Linked DNA regions of Astyanax mexicanus. The protein of the gene in region 1 interacts with the protein of each later gene in a biochemical or structural test. Links are inferred from orthologs where the notes say so. Each region holds a gene or a part of one and is shown in the gene's direction. Other genes may lie near its edges. The genes, in order: lcat and apoa1b.

Region 1 (10,282 bases):
AAGCTTTGGATACAGTCAATCATTCCTCACTTTTAAAGAACCTACACTGTTTTGATTATAATGCTACAGATTGGATCAGCAATTTCCTTTTTACGTATAACACCAGCAGATGACATGGTTCTTTACTCTTCCTCCAGACTCCTTTGATTTCCAAATGAAATGTAAAATTTACTGATGGTCAGTGATGGTTTGGAGAGTCATGTCATCTGCTGGTGTTGATCCACTGTGTTTTATTATTATCAAGTCTAAAGTCAGTGCAGTTTTGTTTTCCCACAAAATCTTACAGCACTTCATGCTTCCCTCTGCTGACAACATTTATGGAGATGTGGATTTCATTTTCCAGCAGGACTTGGCACACTGCCCAGAATGCCAAAAGTACCAATTGGTCTTATATAATATTCTTGGGTTTTTATTGGCTGTAAGCCATAATCATCAACAATAAAAAAAAAACTTAAAATATATCACTCTGTGTGTAATAAATCTATATAATGTAGTAAGGTTTTACATTTTGAACTGAATTACTGAAATTAAGTAACTTTTCAATGATATTCTAATTTCTGAGATGCACTAGTATATACTACGGCATATGGCTATAGAACAAAATGCACTTTTAAGCAGCATGTTAACATGCTTACAGGCAAACTTAAGCAAAAATGCAGCTTCCTATATCAAAACAACATGTGTTTCCCAATTAGCATAAGAAGATTAATAAAGCAACACTGTTGTTTATTCTGGATTGTTTTAGATTTTGTGAATCACTCTGCTTTAAGGTTTTTTATTGGTGACCTAGATTTTATACAGCAAGCATCACTGTGTAAAAAGGTTGAGTGATCTTCTCTTTCATTAGGAAACACATAAAATTCTGTCAGAATCTTACTTTCAGCTATATATTACTTATTATTAGACTACTAAAGAAAAGCAACACTCATTAGGTGTGTTGTTAACTTGACCACCAGATGTGAGGCCATGTTTTCATCATGCTTGAAATCTGGACTTCCTATGGTTTTCTCAAGACCACAACATGCTAAGAGCATGCTAAAGCCACTGTTTGCTATCTTAACACACATGTTGACCTTTAGTAACCCCATACTCAATACACAGCCTATTGATTTTTGTTTGGGTGGTCTTCCTGAGTGTGTTTTCCCCCTCAGCACAGCGTGTATGAGACATTACATCTTCATGTTTGCAGTCAGTGATTGTGTAATGCAAACAGTCGGGGTGGCATAACCATGATACCGGCTCACTTTAACACAAGCACAGAGTTTACCAAGCGCCAACGAACTATAGTAACCTCACAGTTGGGCTGCTGAGGGGGCTATCTGCACTTTGGCCAGCGTCTCCTCCAGTTCCCGTAACTCGCTCAGACCTCCATCCTCTCCTCCCTCCTCCTCCTCCTGCTCTGCCTCCTCCTCCTGGAGCTCAGCTTCTTCCAGCTCAGGCTCGACCTCCGGCAGCATCTCCATCTACAAGGAGTGAAAACAAGGCACATGCTGCAGTCCAGGGGACCTGCCATCCCACCGATTCATGTTTTCAGGCTTTCATGTTTTCTAACACACCTGCTTTAGCTCTTGAACATAACTGGCAGATGGCAAGCATGAAAAACATTAGATAAGAGCAAAACTGTGCAAATACAGCAAGACCAAACTGTGTGAAAAACATACCTTTTGAAGAATATACGGTGCTGTGAAATAGTATTTGCCCCCTACAGATTTAGTTTAGCTTTCAGATTAACAAACACATTTTAATATAAAACAAATATAACATATATAAATATAAAAAGCAAAAATCTATCCAAACCAACTTGGCCCTATGTGAAAAAGTATTTGCCTCCAAATCTAATAACTTGGCTGTGCCACCCTTGGCATCAACTGCAATCAAGCATTTGCGATAAATGAATCTTTTTCACCCACTGTTCTTTGCAGAATTATTTTAATTCAGCCATACTGGAAGGTATTTGAGCATAAACAGCCTGTTTAAAATCAAGCCACATCACTTTTTTTTAAGCCATTCAGATGTAGACTGATATGCCTTGGATAATTGTCCTGCTGCACAACCCAAGTACGCCTACGCTTAAGGTCACAAACTGATGGCCAGGCATTCTCCTTTAGAGTTTTTGGTAGAGAGCATCATGGTTCATGGATTCATGGTTCCATCAATTATAGCAATTGTCCAGCTCCTGAAGAAGCAAAGCAATGTTCTTTGTGTTCTTGTTGGTCAGCAGTGGTTTTTGCCTTAGAACTCTTTCATGGACGTCCGTTTCACCCAGTCTCTTTCTTTTTATTGAATTATTAACATTGACCTTATCTGAGGCAAGTGTGATAGATGTCAATGACTTTACTTTGAATTTCTTTTTGATAATGTGTTGCTGCTATATACAGTACTAGTCAAAAGTTTGAACACACCTCTTCTCATTACACTTTTTTCTTTCTTTTTATATATATTTTTTTACATTGTAAAATTAATAAGATCACAGGATTTCATTTTCCAGGGGGTTTCATTGGCTGTAAGCCATAATCATCAACAACAAAAGAAAAAAACTCCTAAAATAGATCACTCTGTGTGTAATGCATCTTTATGATATATGTCACATTTTTAACTGAATTACTGAAATAATGTAATTTTTCAATAATATTATATTTTTTCAGATGTACCTGTATGTATGTATCTTATATGTATCTTATATTGTTTTTAACCAGAGCTCTGCTCTTGGAAAGATAGATTTTACTGTTTTGATAATTTAAATAAATACAAGTGCCCTGGTAAAAATCAGTACTTATACAGCTCTGGAAAAAAATAAAAGACCACCAGTTTCTTTGATTTTACCACATTGAAAACCTAAGAAATATACTCAAGAGGAAGATGGATGATCACAAACCATCAAACCAAGCTGAACTGCTTGATTTTTGTATCCAAACAGTTCAGCAAATAAATGGTCTAAATGACAATATTTTTATTTGGAATTTGGGAGAAATGTTGTCTGTAGTTTATAGAATAAAACAACAATGTTCATTTTACTCAAACATAAACCTATGCAAAATCAGAGAAACTGATTCAGAAACTGAAGTGGTCTCTTATTTTTTTTCCAGAGCTGTAACGTTATTTGTTAAATGTGAGTGAGACCCAAAAAAAACAGAATATCACAGCTAAATATATTTAGATTACAGACAGTTAGAAAACGTGCACACACTAACCCTTGTTTTACAATCTTCACTACATAGTAAAGCTGTATATAATACAGACTATTCTGGTTTACTATATGAGATATTTACGTTAGTATGAACCGCTTACCTTTTACTCCTCAGTAACGCTGGAACTGTTTATACTCGGTTTCCATAAGCGACAAAATCCCCGCCCATGGCCCTTCACCACCTAAACCAATCCGCGAGCCGCATTCTCCCAAAGCCCGCCCCTCCGGCGCTCACTCCTGTGCTTGGATTGGCTCGTGGATACTCACGAGCTCACGTACGTTAGATTTTAAAACATATTTAACCAATATTATTTTTTAAAATCACATATTTCACGTTTACTGTGCAAACATTTTGGCACATGTGAAAATAATTACAACTAAAATCTAAAACGATATATGAGAATAAATACTAAATGTTAACTCAAAAATATTTATGCTTAATAAAATATTTTCAAATCTCTCCTTATTAGGAGTCTGGTATTATTTATGGTTATCATGTAACACGTGTTTTAGTAATCAAAAAATGATATGTCGTATAATGAGTCCAAAATGAATGAAGCAACTGAGCAGGGTTTATAATTGTCTAATTATTTTCATACCCAAAATATACTAATTTCCACAACACAGAAAAATATACTAATTTCCACAACACAGAAAAATATAACATGTTTCAGCACCGAAGACAAACCTTTTAAACAATCAAATGATTATTAGTCATGTAGTAGTGTATCAGTTTACTCCTTAAGAATTTTCTCAATGCTAATGTAATCCATGACTGACTGGCCACACACACACACACACACACACATACAAAGGATGTATCAGGAGCGGGAACCGTGTCAGACAATAACAGAATAAAGATTGCTGTTTAATTTTGTGTGTGTAAAAATAGATTATAAGAGACACTCTTCTCGTATGGAGGTGACATCATGTTAAAATAAAACAATGTGTGGCCACGACTTAGTAAGGCATGGGAATGAGATCCTAAGGCGTGGCCACGGCTTATAATAATTAAGTCGAATAATAAAGCTTGCTGTTCTGTAAATAAATGCCCATGAAGAAACTGAATATTACATCAAAGCTCCAATCCAAGGATAATCTTTTGTAAGAAAACGGAGAGTGGATTGGTTTCTATATATTTTCATCTTGGAATGAATTATAGTGATATTTAGATTTATACTCTTGCAGTGAGACTGGGCTAATTCTAAGTAAAAGGCCCATATTTCTCATCTCATACACGTTTATCTATCTTAGGCAGTCATACTGTGCCAGTTGTACAGAATAAATTTGCCATAGCACTTTAAAGCATTTGCTGCTTGTATAATTTAATAAGAAATGTTATCTGTGTTCTGCACACGTGAAAAAATAATGTGTAATTTGACCAAATTCAATCAAATCTGAGAAAATTTTTCAAAGTGACAGAGAAAAACTGTAATTTGAGTTCTTAGCCATTTAGCTCCATTTAGCACCCATTCATTTTGAACTCCCTCGCGGGCTCCCTCTAGCGGTTTACAGTCATTTTCTAATATAACGGGGAGATTGCACGTGGGTAGTCTATTCTCTGCATTACCCATCTCTCAGCAGAGTGAGAGTACTACAGGAGTATTAATGAACCTAACATTCATCCCAGCTGTAAATGATTAACTGCCCAGTAGTACGATCAATAGAGCCAGGACACTGGTTCTGTGCGACAGATCCCAACGAGAATGCATTACTGTTAAGGTTTTTTTTTTAAAAGCAGTCAGAAAAGTTCATTTTGGTTCATGTGGTTAAATAAGGTTTGGTTTAGGACTCCAGGGGTGTTTATATAACAGTGTGTGTGTGTGTGTGTGTGTGTGTGTGTGTGTGTGTGTGTGTGTGTGTGTGTGTGTGTGTGTGTTTGGGGGGGGGGGGGGGTTCTAAGGACAAAAAAGAAACACTGAAAGTAAAAAGATGCAGCTGCTCCTTCTTGATTTCCTACAATAATATTAGAATATTATATTCGAATATAATGATAATATTAGTTATTCTACACCAATTGTAAATATTAAAATATCACTGCATTGGCTATTATATTTATGTTCATAGCCTGCAGGGCAATAATTATAAAAACGAAAGAGAGAAAAGATATAATATAATATATATATATATATATATGTGGTATTTAAGCGCGTTTCTTGTTGTGTCCTGTCCGGCTCATATTTACCTGCTGCGCTGACCTCATCGCCCCCTGGCGCTCCCTCAGCATTAAAACTCCTCCACTGCTCCGGGCTCAGACAGAAAGTCAGCCCAGCCCGTTACCGGAGAGCCAGCCACACGGAGAGGAAATCATGCAGGGCTCGCGTGCGCTGAGCTCCGTGATCATCGTTCTGATTGCCCTTCATCAGTGTTCAGCCTTCTGGCTTCTGAACGTGATCTTCCCCCCTACAGCCAAACCTCGTGTACCAAGTAACAGCACACTTCCACCACTCATCATAGGTAAGATAACGCTTTGGTAACATAGTAGATATAGTTTAGTAACATCATAGTGTGACAGCATTTATGTTTGGGTTTGATGCCATAGCTGGAAATGCTTTGATGGCATAGCCAGACACAGTTTGGTGACATTCCTGTACATAGTTTATTGACATTAGTGGATATAGTTTAATACCATTGCTTGATAGAGTTGGGTGACATTGCTGAATGTAGTTTGAATGCATAGCAAGACATGGTTAGGTGGCATTGCTGAAAAAAGTTTGATGGAATAGCCAGACATAGCTTGCTGGCATTGCTGAATAAAGTTTGATTAAATAGCCAGACATAGTTGGTGGAATTGCTGAATATAGTTGGGTTGCAATGTTGGACATAATTTGATGGCATAGCCAGACATAATTTGGTGGCATTGCTGGATATGGTTGGTTGACATTGCTGGACATAGCCAGACATAGTTTGGTGTCATTGCTGAATGTAGTTTGAATGCATAGCAAGACATGGCATTGCTGGAAAATGTTTGATGGAATAGCCAGACATAGTTTGGTGGCATTGCTGAATATAGTTGGGTGACATTGCTGGACATAGTTTGATGGCATTGCTGGATAGATTTTGGTGGCATGGACAGACACAGTTTGCTGACATCCTTGTACATATTTTTTGGTGGCATACCTGTATAGAGTTTGGTGACATTGCTGGATATAGTTGGTGACATCAGAGGATGTGGTTTGGTGGCATTGTTGGACATAGGTTGATGGCATAGCCAGTGGTGGCATGGCCAGACACAGTTTTTTGTAGATAAATTGGTGGCATTGCTGGATATGGTTTGGTGTTATTACTAGAAATAGATTGGTGGCATTGCCTGTTATGATTTAATGCTATTGCTGGACATAGTTTGATGACACTGCTGGGCATAGTTTGGTGACATTGCTGGAGTAAGTAGGGTGGCATTGCTGGACATTGCTGCTGTTGCCGGATAAAGTTGGTGGCATTGCCAGACACAGTTTGCTGACATTTCTGTACATAGCTTGGGGACACTACTAGAGTAAGACAGTTTGGTGTTGGTGGCATTGCTGGACATTAGTGCCTTTACCAGACATAGTTTGGAAGCATTGCCAAACATAGTTTGGTGGACTAGCTGGACATTGGTGCCATTACCAGACATAGTTTGAAGGTTTTGCTGGACATGGTTTGGCAGCATTTTTCGTTATAATTTGTTGGCATTGCTGGATATAGTTTGGAGGCATTACTGGACATAGCTTGGCAGCATAGCTTGAACTGGTTTGGTGGTAGTCCTGGACATAGATTGGTTCCACTGCTGGAGCCACTATGTTCTGTAGTGAAAATTCATGGGCTATGAAAATGTCTCATTTGAACTATTACTCTCCTGAACTCCTTGACCCTGATGATTTAGTGCCTGGGAATTTGGGAAATCGCCTTGAAGCGAAGATTGACAAGCCTTCACTGGTCCACTGGTTATGCTACAAGAAATCTGAGGACTGGTTTCCCCTGTGGATCGACCTCAACATGTTCATGCCTATTGGTGTTGACTGCTGGATTGATAACATGAGGTGAGGAATTGAATAGCACATCTTACATAGGTTAAAATGTAGGTATTTTAAGAGTTAAGGGTTTGATATGTTAATATCAATATAATAATATTTATTTTCTTACACTTATGTATATTTGTGAGAAAAGAAAGCTGCCAGCTCATTTGGGCTATGATAACTCAATCCAGGTGGCCTTCATATGGATGGTCCTAACTCACTCCCATGACACCACCACATTCTTTCCCTAATACCCTAGGAAAGGTCAGTGCACATGTATAGCATCCCACTGGGGACTGGCAGATTTACCATCTTTCCCACTCGCAAAACATCCCTAAAAGTGTAAGAATTCTGGCAGGGATCAACATGGCACTGGTTCTTAAAAAACCTTCACTGATATATTTAATAACCTTGTGCTACCTAACTCACACTGGAAATGGAGAACCAGTTTTTTAGGCCCAGATTAAATTTAGTATGGTGGTAAATCACCAAAAACAGTCCCTACCCAAAATATTTTGGGTAAGTAAACTGCAATGTGGAAGGTGTTCTACAATTAAAACTCCCATTTAGTTTAGGTTTAGGTTTAGTTTGACCAGAAACCATCTTTACAATTCAAACACTGTCCCATCTGTCCATTGAATAATGCTTTTTTGACTGGCAGGTACAGGGGTAAATGCCCAGCTATCAGATTTTATGGCTGCCCTCCAGTTGCTGAAGCAATTAACCTTTTGTCTGTTGTTTTTGGATAGTTCTCAAACAGCAAACATGATGACGACAAATGGACCCCAGTTGACAACATTTCACAAAAAAATGACTCACTGTGTGTCTTTCTGTACAATGTAGGATTGTGTACAATCGGACAACTCGTAAAACCTCCAATGCTCCAGGGGTTGAAGTTCGGGCCCCAGGCTTTGGGCAGACATACACTGTAGAATTTCTAGACAACAACAAGTTGGCAGGTGAGTGGAGCAACAGTATTGCATATCTGTGTTAGGGTTAGTGGAATAAAATGACATAAATTGCATAACCCATTGCATTTCCCCCATATTCCATAAGTGGCTGGCCAGACAAAACATGTCTGATGACTGAAGCTAAGCTGGCATTTTTAGTTTAAGTAATGGAACTCTGGATCTCTAACTATGTGGAGTTGTTAAGTAATCTCCAGTTGACTTGCATGTGTGTTTTTTCACTATGTATGATGTTTACATTTAGTTTTAGTTTTTAGTTTTAACAATTATAGAAATATAGAATTAAATGTAACTTCACAGGTTTTATTATTTGTTTGGAAAATAAATTACTGAGTAACATCAATACATTTACATACATTTTAATATGTAGTTCAATGTACTTAAACATGTAGATGTACTTAAATCTACATAACACATAATAAACTGATCTAACAATGTATTATTGAAGTATTGTCAGTTGAATTAAACTCAACTTAAAAAGTATACAATGTACTTTTCTATAACAGAATATAGGTCTTTCCCTTTAGCCTTGTCATTTTTTTAATGCTGATGTGTCTCTGTTGCTAGGTTATTTTCACACCATGCTTCAACATTTGGTTAATATGGGATATGTGCGTAACGAAACCGTTCGAGCAGCACCATATGACTGGAGGATTGCGCCAAGTGAGGTTACATTCAAACACACACCATGCAAACAGTTCTCTTCTCCCACACACACAGTTCATTCTTTGTCCATCTAGCTTCTCTGACCTGATCTGTGGAACGGAACGGGTTCATTTTATTAATTTTCATTTATCTCTCTAATTCACCACATTACCTCCACCCTGACTCTGACTCATAGTAACATGTATTGTGACCTTACTTTACACACACACACACACACACACACACACACACACACACACACACACTAGATTTTGCAATGTTCTTACACTGTGTGTGTCTGATGTGTTCCAGATGAGCAGGATGAATATTTCTCACAGTTAAAGCGTCTGGTGGAGGAAATGCATGACGAATACAAGCAGCCTGTTCACCTGCTGGGTCACAGCATGGGCAGCAACTATATCCTCTACTTCCTCAACCAGCAGAGCAAGGCCTGGAAAGACCGTTACATTAAGAGCTTCATCTCACTGGGAGCGCCGTGGGGTGGAGCAGTGAAGCCCCTCAGAGTATTAGCCTCAGGTAATAAAAAAGGTCACTGGCCCTCACTGTTCATTAAAATAAATTTCTTTTTTAAACCAAGTTATGCAGTTTTCAGAAAGATTCTTACTACTGTTTGTTTCCCTTACTTTTTGGGTCAGGAAAACTTTTTACCAATTTGGATTATTATGCTCCACCCACTTTAATCCATTGCTAATTTTCATATTATGCAAAACCTACGTTTGCAAACTAGTCATAGGATTTTTAGACATACAAGCACCTGAACCATAATTATTGTGTGAAGGCTAAAAATGCTTTTTTTTCCAGCAATTTTACATCAGATCAGGCTAATATTTTGCGTTCACTAATGGTGTCAGACAACAAGTGGGTTATATAAATTATAGGATAATACATTACTGGCACCTTTCCCTCTTCGAAAACACCCACCAGGGCTCCAGCCACTAGATCATTTGAAGAGTTGTCTGATTTTGGTCTGCAGGTTGAGAACCTCAGACAGTACTCAGCAGGATTACCCAACAGACTTTGTCTGAGGAAGGGATCTGTACCAGCAACAGCTTTTTTGCATAAAAAAGACAGAACCATTAAATAGCTAATTCTGAATGGGACTGAAACTGTCAGGAATAGAGCTGGTGTGATCTCTTTATGTGAGAGTTATTTTTCTATGCAAAACAACTTAATGCATATGTTTTATTTAGCCCATAGACCTTTTTTAACTTGTGTAAAAAGTGCCTTACATAAATTACTAAAGTCACTATAGCACTCAATATGTTGAAGTAACATTATTATCCTACTACAGATCAACACATCAGTTTCAAATTTTACATTTTTCTTTTGCGATAAACTAAAATCAGCTTCAGAGCAAAACTAGATTCCAGATAATATGATAAAATTTCAGTTCAGATATTTAATCCTATGACTCAAATGCCATACTGACAGCACAGAACAGCTGTCTTCATTGGAGAGCACAGCGA
Region 2 (10,352 bases), on another chromosome or scaffold:
GTTGCAAAGTTCTCTTAAATCAGTTCAAGCGTGGGCGTTTGTTTAAAAAAACGTTTAGTGGCTTTAGGGTAGCTGGACATCATGAACTGCCAAGCTAAATATTAGCATTGAAAACCTCTAAGTCCACCAAGAATCCAGTGAATGGAACATCATGTTTAAACAGAACGACAGCAATTCCAGCCATTTTCATTGAAATATCCATGCAACACTGAATTAAAATGAATGTGAAAGAAACACATGCCAAATATATACCAATGTATATATATATATTTAATCAACTAATCTATTGACAATAATTTTGTATGAAATCTTGTTCTGTTCTCGGTGTGTCGTTGTGTAGGTGGTGGACCATGGTCTCTTGTTTTGCGCCATAGTTTCTCTCTATTCCTCCGCCCACGGGTCACGTGACATCCATGATTGGCACCCACACATCACCTTCCAAAAACCTAATCTAACCCTGCAAAGATGCTTTCAAAGTGACTTTTGCTCTACTTTTTCCATGCTATTGTAGTTTATACAAGTGTGCTCCAATGTGCTCCTCTTGTGTCGGGTTATAAGGTGCACTATTAACTTAGCTAGTTTAGTTAATAGTGGACCTTATAACCCGATGCGCTCTATACTGCGAAAAATAGGGTATTGCTAAACTCCTTTGCTGTTTTGACGGCGCAAGTGTAAGACTCAAAAATAGACTGTTGACTTGGTGTATGGTAACAAAGAGCATGGTGAAGTGCCTTGCGCAGGGTGCAGGCTAAGCTAAGTAAACAAAGTTGTAATAAAAAATGACCTTCTTTTAAAGTCAAACGAGCACTGGATGTTAATCTACACAGATATCTCTCCTGAAAACTGTTTATTTGGGTCAGTAAAGCGCATTTGTTTATTTACAGTAAGCTTGGATTACCGGATTCAACAGCACTAAGGCTGGAGCATTAGAATTAGCGGCTAAACGCTAACCTGACAGTGGAAAACACAGGTGCGCCACTTACTGAAACAAACCTAGACTATAGTTTAACTGTCAAGATTTCACTCCTATAGGTGCGCCAGCACCCGTACACCCTCGCTTTTTAAACAAACACACACACAGACACGCTAACCTGACTTTTAACTCAACAATAAACAGAATATAAAATAACAAAATAATATAATAAAATAACATTGCTAACCCTAAGTGTTTTACATTTAAATGTTAGGCCAGCCCAGTTCTGTACCCTCTTGGTCTGCAGTCATTTCTTTTTTGTAATGTGTGCAGCATGTGGCTTTGCATTGTTTTGTTAAAAAAATGCCTGGAAGTCTCTAACAAAGATGTCACCTTGAAGCAGTGCTAGATGTAGTTTGATATGGGGAGTCCTTAGATTTCAAGCTGAAACTTTATTATGCTCCTTTATCCTGTTTTCAATGTTTAAGACCACCATTTTCCTTAGGTATTTAGGAGATATTGGGGAAATGTACTGCAACCAGTACTGAATGTACTGTCTTTAACCCTGAATAATGACTGAATAATCCTATTATAACACAGTGCAATTAGCACCAATAAAAACAGCAGGGCAGTTGTTTAAAAGAAGAAACTGATACTAGTTCTAATATTTATTCTCAGTGATGACATTGGTGTCTAACTGAGATAATGCCAGACCAAAGGTTTGTTTTATCAGTCCTCCAGTAGAATACTGTCCACACTACATTCAGTTCTACACTTAGATTAGCATGTTGTACGCTCTTAAATGTTTGGCAAATGCAATTTTTACATTGGTAAATGAACATAACTACAAATCCCTTTAGAAAAAAAAAATTCTGATAGCTCTTAAGACACATTTGGGGGTTATTGTTTATATAAAGAATATCAATAAAAAAAAGCCATATATAGTTTTTTTATTATCAAAAAGCATTTTTGCATGAAAGTGCATTTCAACAGTAGCGTCCAAAGCTTATCATATGACTATACTCTATATGGGTCATGACCTACTTTAGACCCGTAACAAAATATGATACTTTTAAATTAATAACTTTTTAAATAATTTTTATACTCTATATGGATCATGACCTACTTTACACCCATAACAAAATATGATACTTTTAAATTAATAATTTTTATGTACATCTAAAAGCAAATACTTTTGTGCTTTTACTCGAGTGGAGGTCTAAAGGAGGACTTCTACTTTTACTTTGTGTGTCTCTGCTTTAACTCAAGAACATGGGTTGGGTACCTTATCCATAGCTGGAAAAAAGAAAGCTGTACAAAAAACACTAAATAAATAAATAAAATAATTTAAAAAATTAAGATATTCCCGTTATCTAGATATTTAAATTGTAAACTGAGCCTTTGATCATTATAAAGGCACGAATAAAAGAATTAAAGTAATAAAACGAATGGTGGAGATTAAATGTCAAGAAAATAAGTAACAGTTATCCAAACACCCTGTTTTAACTCTAGACATATAAACGTACAAATATATACGTATAAATAAGGAAAGTAAAGGATGCATGATATTTTACTGTATCTTACTGTAATTACAGAGATAACAACTACAAGATCAACTCAACCTTCACCACTATCATTTAACTGATCTGACAAATGGGGCCAATTGGCCAGTCGTCTCCTGATCCACGCTGAGTTAAAGGAGTGAACAGAGCTATTGACACTGTGTTTAGAAATGCGCTCAGCAGGGAGCCGGTGTTTTACTGGCAGGAAGAATGGAAAATGAAAGGTTGCGGGTGAATTGTGGAGGGGATTAAGGAGAGGGGGTGTGAGCCTGGTTATAAAAGTCGTGTGAAGTGAAGAGAAAGTTTGGGGATTTGGGACACTGTAATCAAGTGCAGAGCCATCTCAGGATCAGCGAGGAGGGAGGGAACTCATTTGCAATTGAAAGCTAATGCTTTGTTACAGCGGACGGCCTGTCTTTGAGAAACATTCCCGTATACAGTACAAGCTTGATTATCTATCAGGAGAGAGAAAATGTTCTAAACTTTATTTAAATTCAAGTCATTTTAGAGTATTTTTATCTCTTCAGCATGAAATCACAGGTTGAATATTTAAGGAGCAAGGATGGGTTGAGAATCTTCAGTTTGCCAGTATTACTAAAATGTCATTATACCCTCTGACAGCACTGCACCAAGAACCTGTATTCAACAATAGCTGATAGATAAACATTGGTAGGACTTCCTTTGGCAAATATTTCTCAAACACTACAATGGAGTTACATCCACAAATGACACTTACAACTTTATGTTTATGCCACTGCAAGCCTTATGTTAACCATGTTCAGAAGAGGCATCAACTTCTCTGGTCACAAAAGTATCCAGATAGACCATTACACAGTGGACATGAGTACTGTGGTTTGATGAATCATTATTCCAGATCATTTTTAACTAAATGGACTATCCGGACTTAATTTGAGTGTAAGTACACTTCTGCGATTAACTATGGCAGAAAATTACATTGAGATTTTGCAGTTACATACGCTGCAACATCTTTTCCATGTGCACCCATGCATTTCTCAAGAAGTCCTGCAGTCCTGACCTGTCCCCAATAGAGAATGCGTGGAGAATTTAAAAACAGAAAATAACAATGACAGCCATGTGCTATTGCACACCTTATGTGTTTGGGAGAAGATAGGGAAAAAATAATAACTAAAACACTTTGCTTGGTATCCTCAACTCTAAAAACATGAACTGAATCTAGAAGGCTAAAGTACAAGGACAGTGTTTGAAATTGATTAGCAGTATTGAAGCAGGGATGAGCGGTTAAGTAATGGTCTGACGTTTGACTTTGCACTTTTTTTCTGCACTTTTGAACTTATATTCTTACATACGTGTGACACTATGTTCAGGGGTCCAAATGGATTTAAAACGGATGGACTGGTTCCATATTTGTCCTATATATTAATAGTCAACTGCAGTTCTGCTGACTCAGACGTCATACTCCCACATAGGCAGAGCATTTTGGATAGTGTCCCTGGAGTCCATCTTAAATTCCATGAATTTGCTCTGCTGATTTTCTCTTTGCTTTTGTAGGTTAATGATTAAGCATAGAGTTCATCAGGAAGGCTGAAAAAGTGCATTGATACATTTTCTGCTAATTTCTGTCCTAATTCCAGTAGATTGAATGCTAATGTTATAGAAAGCTTCTAATTGCTGATAGGATTTTAGCTTCTACATGCATCCAGGCTACAAGGTGTGATCTCAGGGTTATAAAGTTTAATTTTTTTTTAGTATGTTAAAAATACAACTAAGAAATAAACCTTTCCATCATGCCTTAAAATCCCTTTACTGTGTAAAAACCAGTACGTATATCTTCAAAATTGCATTAAATCTGTAGTGACAGACAAAGTCCACACACACACTGGACAGCTCAACTGACCCTTTAACCCATTTGTCATTTTGCCACAGCATGCAGAGCAGTCTGGCAGCTTTTTCTAATGCAGCGATATGGTAACAGAGTGTACCATGAAGATTACGACACTGCTTTATGGTGCGGGTCTGTACCCAATGCCCTTTCAGAACCTTATCAGAGAACCCAGGAGAGCGCTGGATCTTTTACCCTGATAAAGAAAAGACAGAGGGATAAAAAAAAAACAAATGAAAGAAGGAGATTCCCCTCTAATGCCACTGATTTGATCATTGAATTTTACTGCAGTAGATGTGTTTGCATTTTTTTTTTATCAGTTTACTCAATGCTCCCACTCAAGACTAATGGCCTGCCTGTTCACGGCCATGCAAATTTACAAGCTTGTGTGCACAGATTTTGTTGGGAACATAAAGTTCTGGTTATTTAAATTTTATTTGCAATCATAATGAGTTAGAAATGAACATATAAAATTATGAAATAAAAGGCAATAAGATAATTTAATCAATATTTTAAAGTATGTTCTAAATATAAAATATAAAAAACTAAACAATGCACTGTAAGGGTATGTGCATTGAGATTGGATTGGAGATACAAGATATTTTAGATGTTAACTTAATTAAGGTGATTTAAGTCATTTTCAAGTAATTTCAAGTCATTTCTTCAAATGATTCCAACCTGTAAAGAACAGGTTTAACATTCTAAACCATTTGACCCAATTATCTGCAACATAATTTGATTTATTTAACTTTCACACTCAAAAAGCATTAAAAATGTGCTTTTTTCATGCTAAAGTTAATTTTTTTTAAAAGTATCCAATTTTTACCAAGCTGGAGGATAGATATATATAATTATAGAAATAATGGTTCTCCACTGCCACAAGCATTGAACCCCCTTTATGGCCTTATGCCTTTACTACAATGAAAACAGAGCAAACTATATAGGTTCTAATCGAGTTACAGAAGTGTGCAATGGTCATTTAAAGAATATTATATTATCTGTATAAGCGACAGATGAGTAAATAGTACAATGGATCAAAAAGTTCTAAAAGGAAGTATGCACAAATAGTATGTTTTTGAATGATGCAAAACCTTTTTAAGTCAATATTCTACCAAGTGTTTACACAAATACACAAAAACATGTTCACGTTCTTATCTGCACGAAAAACGTCCAAAAAGCAGAAGAAACTGAACATAAACATCTCCACAGCACTTTTGTGCTTCTATCGATGACAACCTCCCCCTCTACTCAGTAGGTGACCATTGTACCCAACTCGTCCAGTGAATCAGAGAGGGGGTGAGGTCCAACTCCACAGAGGCAAACTCACTCCCCACAGTGTTCCCTCCCACTCCCCGGGGCCCTATAAAACATCCATCTCCACCTCAGGCTCATCAGTCTCTCCAAGACCAGCATCATCAACAGGTAAGCAGCTGAGCCAAGGGAACCGGCACTTTTTCACTGGACAGCCACGGCTGAAGAGTTGAAGATTTTACGCACTGAAAACTTATATATTGTATAGAGGCAGTTGTTGTAGGACATTGTACTTTTTAAGTTTTAGTTTTTATACTTGAGTTGTTTAAAAGACAATTCTAATTTGTGAAAGACTGGCTAAAATCACAATTTAGAACAACATTTACATTTTTCCCAATAGCATTTTAATTCTTTGCAAAGGCCTCCTAAAGAGTCACCCCAGGATAGGGACAAATCCTCCCTGGCTGTCCAAGAGTAATCTTGGGGATTGAAGATTATCCCATGGTTAAGAGCTAATCTGGTAGTGAAGCCTTTGTAACTCCATGCAGCTCTGTTATATCCAGTCTGGATTAGAGTGTAGGTTGATAGGCTTGACATATGCTGTAGACTGAACTCATTCAGGACGGCTTGAGAGTTTCTCTAGTTTCATCAGGCTTTAGGTAATAATTGTCAAAGATGTGTTGTTGCTCTTCAAAGCTCTTTAAAAGATGCTGACCTGCAATATTTGTTGCTTCTCTTCACAGATCCATCATGAGGTTCGTGGCTCTAGCACTGACCATTCTTCTGGCCGCAGGTAAAAAATGTTCCAATTTGCCAACACTGATAATAAAAGGTTTAAACAATACCTAGTCCAGTATGTCTGTTCCAGCAGCATGTTCAAAATCTTTAGTCTAAATTCGTCCTCCTCTTCCTGCTTGTTCAGGTTGCCAGGCCCGCTACATGCAGGCAGATGCACCAACTGACTATGAACAGATTAGGTCTGCAGTTGTGACATACCTGGGTCAGGTGAAGGAGACAGCTCAGAAAGCCATCGACCGTCTTGATGATGGTGACTACAAGGAAGTCAAGTAAGAGATTAAGCTTATTTTTCCAGGCCTACTCATTTATTACTCTAAAGACTAACAGTAACTATAAGATCTTTGTTCTTGTCTTCTTCACAGGGAGCGCCTCACCCTGTCCCTGCAAAGGATCCAAGGCTACCTTGAGGCTGCTTCTACCTCCCTTGCTCCAGTCAGAGAGACCATCGGTCCCCAAGTAGTGGAAGGCGTCATTGCTCTCCGCGCCAAGGTTGAGAAAGATGTTGAGGATCTGCGCAAAGAGCTGGAGCCCAAGCGCGAGGAGCTGCGCCAGGTGGTGAAGAAACACCTCGATGAGTACCGTGAGAAGCTGGAGCCCCTGATCAAGGAGTTCACAGAAAAACACCGTGAGCAGATGGAGCAGCTCCGCGTCAAGATGGAGCCCGTGATGAAGGATCTGCAGGAAAGGATCAAGACCAACCTGGAGGAGACCAAGTCCAAGCTGACCCCCATCGTGGAGGTCCTGCGTAGCAAGGCAACCGAGCGCGTGGAAGAGCTGAGGCAGTTTGTCGCCCCCTACGTCCAGGAGTACAGAGACCACGCACAAAGCGTCTTCGGACAGCTGCAGTCCAAGTACGAATCTGGAGAGCTGCAAAAGAAGCTGGCCACCGTGGGAGAAGAGATCAAGCCCCAGCTGGAGAAGATTGTGGAAACCCTCCAAAAGGCCTTCATGGCATAAACCTTCTTATCCTACACCTCTCCCACCAAATCACAGCCTCTTTCAACCCTTTCCTACATTTCCAAACCCTGTTACTAACACCAAGTCTGTAAGGCTTTATCATACAAAAGGACTCTTTCCATCACACACTTACTTACTCACACCACGCGCTGATGCAGCAAAGGACTTTTACTGCCTGTCTTACAATTGGCCAAGCTTTTGATGACACTTAAAGCAAACACATGCTTAAGTATATGCAAGACCTGTTTTTGTGCAACATTCTTTAACGCCTGGCTAAAAAATACCTTTCGCTGTGCTTCTGTGTTGTTAAAAAGTGTGCCAAAACAATGGCTCAATAAAAATAGACTGTTTCATACAACTTCCTTTTGTGTCTTAAGTGTTTTTTTAAGGTGTCCTTCAGCTTTGGCTCTCATCAATACATTAAACATTAGCAGAGCAGTTTAACATTATTTATTAGGCATACGGTGGTACATAAAATGTGTGAATTAAGGGTTATTTGGACATAAAATCATATTTTCTCTAGCTGTAAAACTGCAAAATCAAAATGACAGAATCTTTGGTTTTAGACATGGATCATTTGTTTGGTTATTTTGCCCCATTAATGACAAGAAAGCTCATAAACTTTCTCTAGCTCCGTTAATTCTACATAAATTTACTACTACTACTTTAATATGATAATACAAATATCTTTAAAAAACAGTTTCCAATTAAAACAGCCTTTACATTCAACAGAATAAAGTAATGCATAATTATTCAGAGAGAATGGGACGTACAAGACTTTGTAGACCAACAAAACTGTCCCCAGTGCATATTCACTTTCATTACTCCTCAAGATGTGCTAAACAAACTATTATTAAACACACACACACAAAATAGTTTCTGCATTAAGACTAAGAATATGACAATTGAACACTACTTCAAAACACTATTGTCAAAAAACTGTCAACTAAAGACTTTTACTACAACTGGGTTTGACAGTCCTTTTTTGTGTCAAATCTATTTAAAATATAAACTCCTTTATTATGTCCCAGGTTACTACTGTTAGCATTATCCCAGGTTAGCATTGCTAATCGATACCAGTTGACAACAGTATCAACCAAACACTATTCAAGCAATTCCACAGATAGAAGCTGGACAGTGTTGTGTGTACGACTGATTTAATGACACGCAAATAGATAGAAGTGACAGTAAACAGTATAATACTATTCATTTAAAATATTGGTGAGCCTCTCTTAACTTTTTTAAATATGAAATCTAACTTGTGGGGCATTTGAATTAAAATTTTCTACCTGAAGATCTCGACATCAGGTCAAATGTAAAGCAGCACAATAACTTAATGATAAATATAGGGATCAATTGGTTATTGTCCATTATCCTGTTGATTAAAAAATTGGAAAAAAATAAAATAAAAAGAAACAGAAAACAGAAACAGAAAATTTACACTAGGACCTATGAAATGCGTTTGTTGGAGACTAATGGGTTTTATTAGGATAATAAATCACCTGGAACAGATCCTGACCTGATGTTTGGTAGAGATCTTGTACTTATTAGTATTAGATGGATGAGACAACTTCATGAACTGCCTCAGGCAAAGTCTTGCCAACACCACCCTATAATCTTTTTATCCATGAACATTAGGCAAGGAGATCCATAAGCACATCTTGATCCTTAAAAACATGAGGTCAATGAATGATATGCAGGAGACGCTGTTTTTAAACCCTGTCAGTGTTTGACACAGATCAGCCAAAATATTAAGCCTCATGTTATGTTCAACTTTAGGAAACAGCATTCATTTCTTATAAATTATTTTTAGCTTAATTAATGTAAACCTAATTAATATTTTGTATAATCAAAGTGTTCAGCCTTATATATAACGGTTCACCTATGATAATCCACAATAAATCACAATGAATAAATACATAAAGAGATCAGAGATGGACGGAAATTACAATGTTTATCCAAAACTGAATACCGAAGTGAATACCATTTTTCACAGGTTTTCATTAATTCTACCTCTTTTTTCACCATTGAACAAAATTAAATAGCTATTTAATTGTATTTTTATGTTATTTTGTCTCAAACAAAATGCACGTTCAAAGCTCCAGTTTAAAAATATGTATTAAACACTTAAAACCTTACCAAAAAAGCACAACACATTTACCTCAGCAGTGCTATTCTAGTCATTCATTTATTTCAGTCATGCTGTTTTAGTCACACAATTAGCTAGCTAGCTAGCTACCCTAGCTAACCCAGCAGCGCCATTTTAATCATAAATATACTTAAGCAGCGCAATTTTATCTATAAATGTACCATTGACATGCCATAGAAAAGCTTGTCTAGTCCCTGTAAAAGTATTACCAACAGAATAGGTTTAAAACCCACTGGAAATTAGCTAAATTAACTGTGTTTTCTGGAATAATGGTGGGTGCTCTATCCAAAACTCTTGCTGCTGAATGTAATAATTAAATTACATATAACCTTACAGAAATCCTTCTCTCAAAATCTAGTAAAAGCCTTCCCAGGACAGTAGAGACAGTTGCTCCAACAAAAACAGGATACACTCTTAACTATTAAAAACCCTTGATTTTGGAAGAACCAAAGAATAAGCAATTATTAGCCAATCCATTTTAGCCGTCTGACAGGCCCTTCAGGCTTAGAAGTGATCCATTTATTTAGCACTGAGCTGAGGGCAGAGTTGAAAGTGGGGAGTTATTGAAGAACCACATCCACAGTGTCCACCAGGGGTCAGAGGGCGACTTCTTTGTTTCCTAGTTCTACTTTTCCATACAGGATACTTGTGCTAAAAATCCAATTAGCTGTGTGTTGAACACTGCAAACGGACCACAGGGACTTATTATTGATTGTCGCGAAGACACAGATGCACTGATGGTCTTCTGTCTTCAGTCAATAATATATACATGTAATTAAGCAGTACTTGGTCTTGATGGAGCGTATGATCTTGGTTTCTGAGGTTATGTGCAAAAGGAATGAATGAGTGTTGAGTAGAGGC

The links.
Region 2: the proteins of lcat (region 1) and apoa1b form a complex in vitro, tested with the Homo sapiens proteins (6 studies listed by BioGRID and IntAct, with this or other methods). The link is inferred for Astyanax mexicanus from reciprocal best matches to the Homo sapiens genes LCAT and APOA1.

What each region holds. Positions count from the first base shown.
Region 1 is NC_064417.1:7,192,224-7,202,505, forward strand, and holds the start of lcat (phosphatidylcholine-sterol acyltransferase), read left to right. Parts: upstream 1-5,405; 5' UTR 5,406-5,496; coding exon 5,497-5,644; intron 5,645-7,049; coding exon 7,050-7,206; intron 7,207-8,025; coding exon 8,026-8,141; intron 8,142-8,717; coding exon 8,718-8,813; intron 8,814-9,107; coding exon 9,108-9,332; intron 9,333-10,282. Other genes in the region: ccdc135 (dynein regulatory complex subunit 7), read right to left, coding at 1,297-1,463. UniProt on the Homo sapiens protein: Central enzyme in the extracellular metabolism of plasma lipoproteins.
Region 2 is NC_064411.1:43,929,289-43,939,640, reverse strand, and holds apoa1b (apolipoprotein A-Ib), read left to right. Parts: upstream 1-5,693; 5' UTR 5,694-5,758; intron 5,759-6,330; 5' UTR 6,331-6,337; coding exon 6,338-6,380; intron 6,381-6,509; coding exon 6,510-6,654; intron 6,655-6,747; coding exon 6,748-7,342; 3' UTR 7,343-7,700; downstream 7,701-10,352. UniProt on the Homo sapiens protein: Participates in the reverse transport of cholesterol from tissues to the liver for excretion by promoting cholesterol efflux from tissues and by acting as a cofactor for the lecithin cholesterol acyltransferase (LCAT).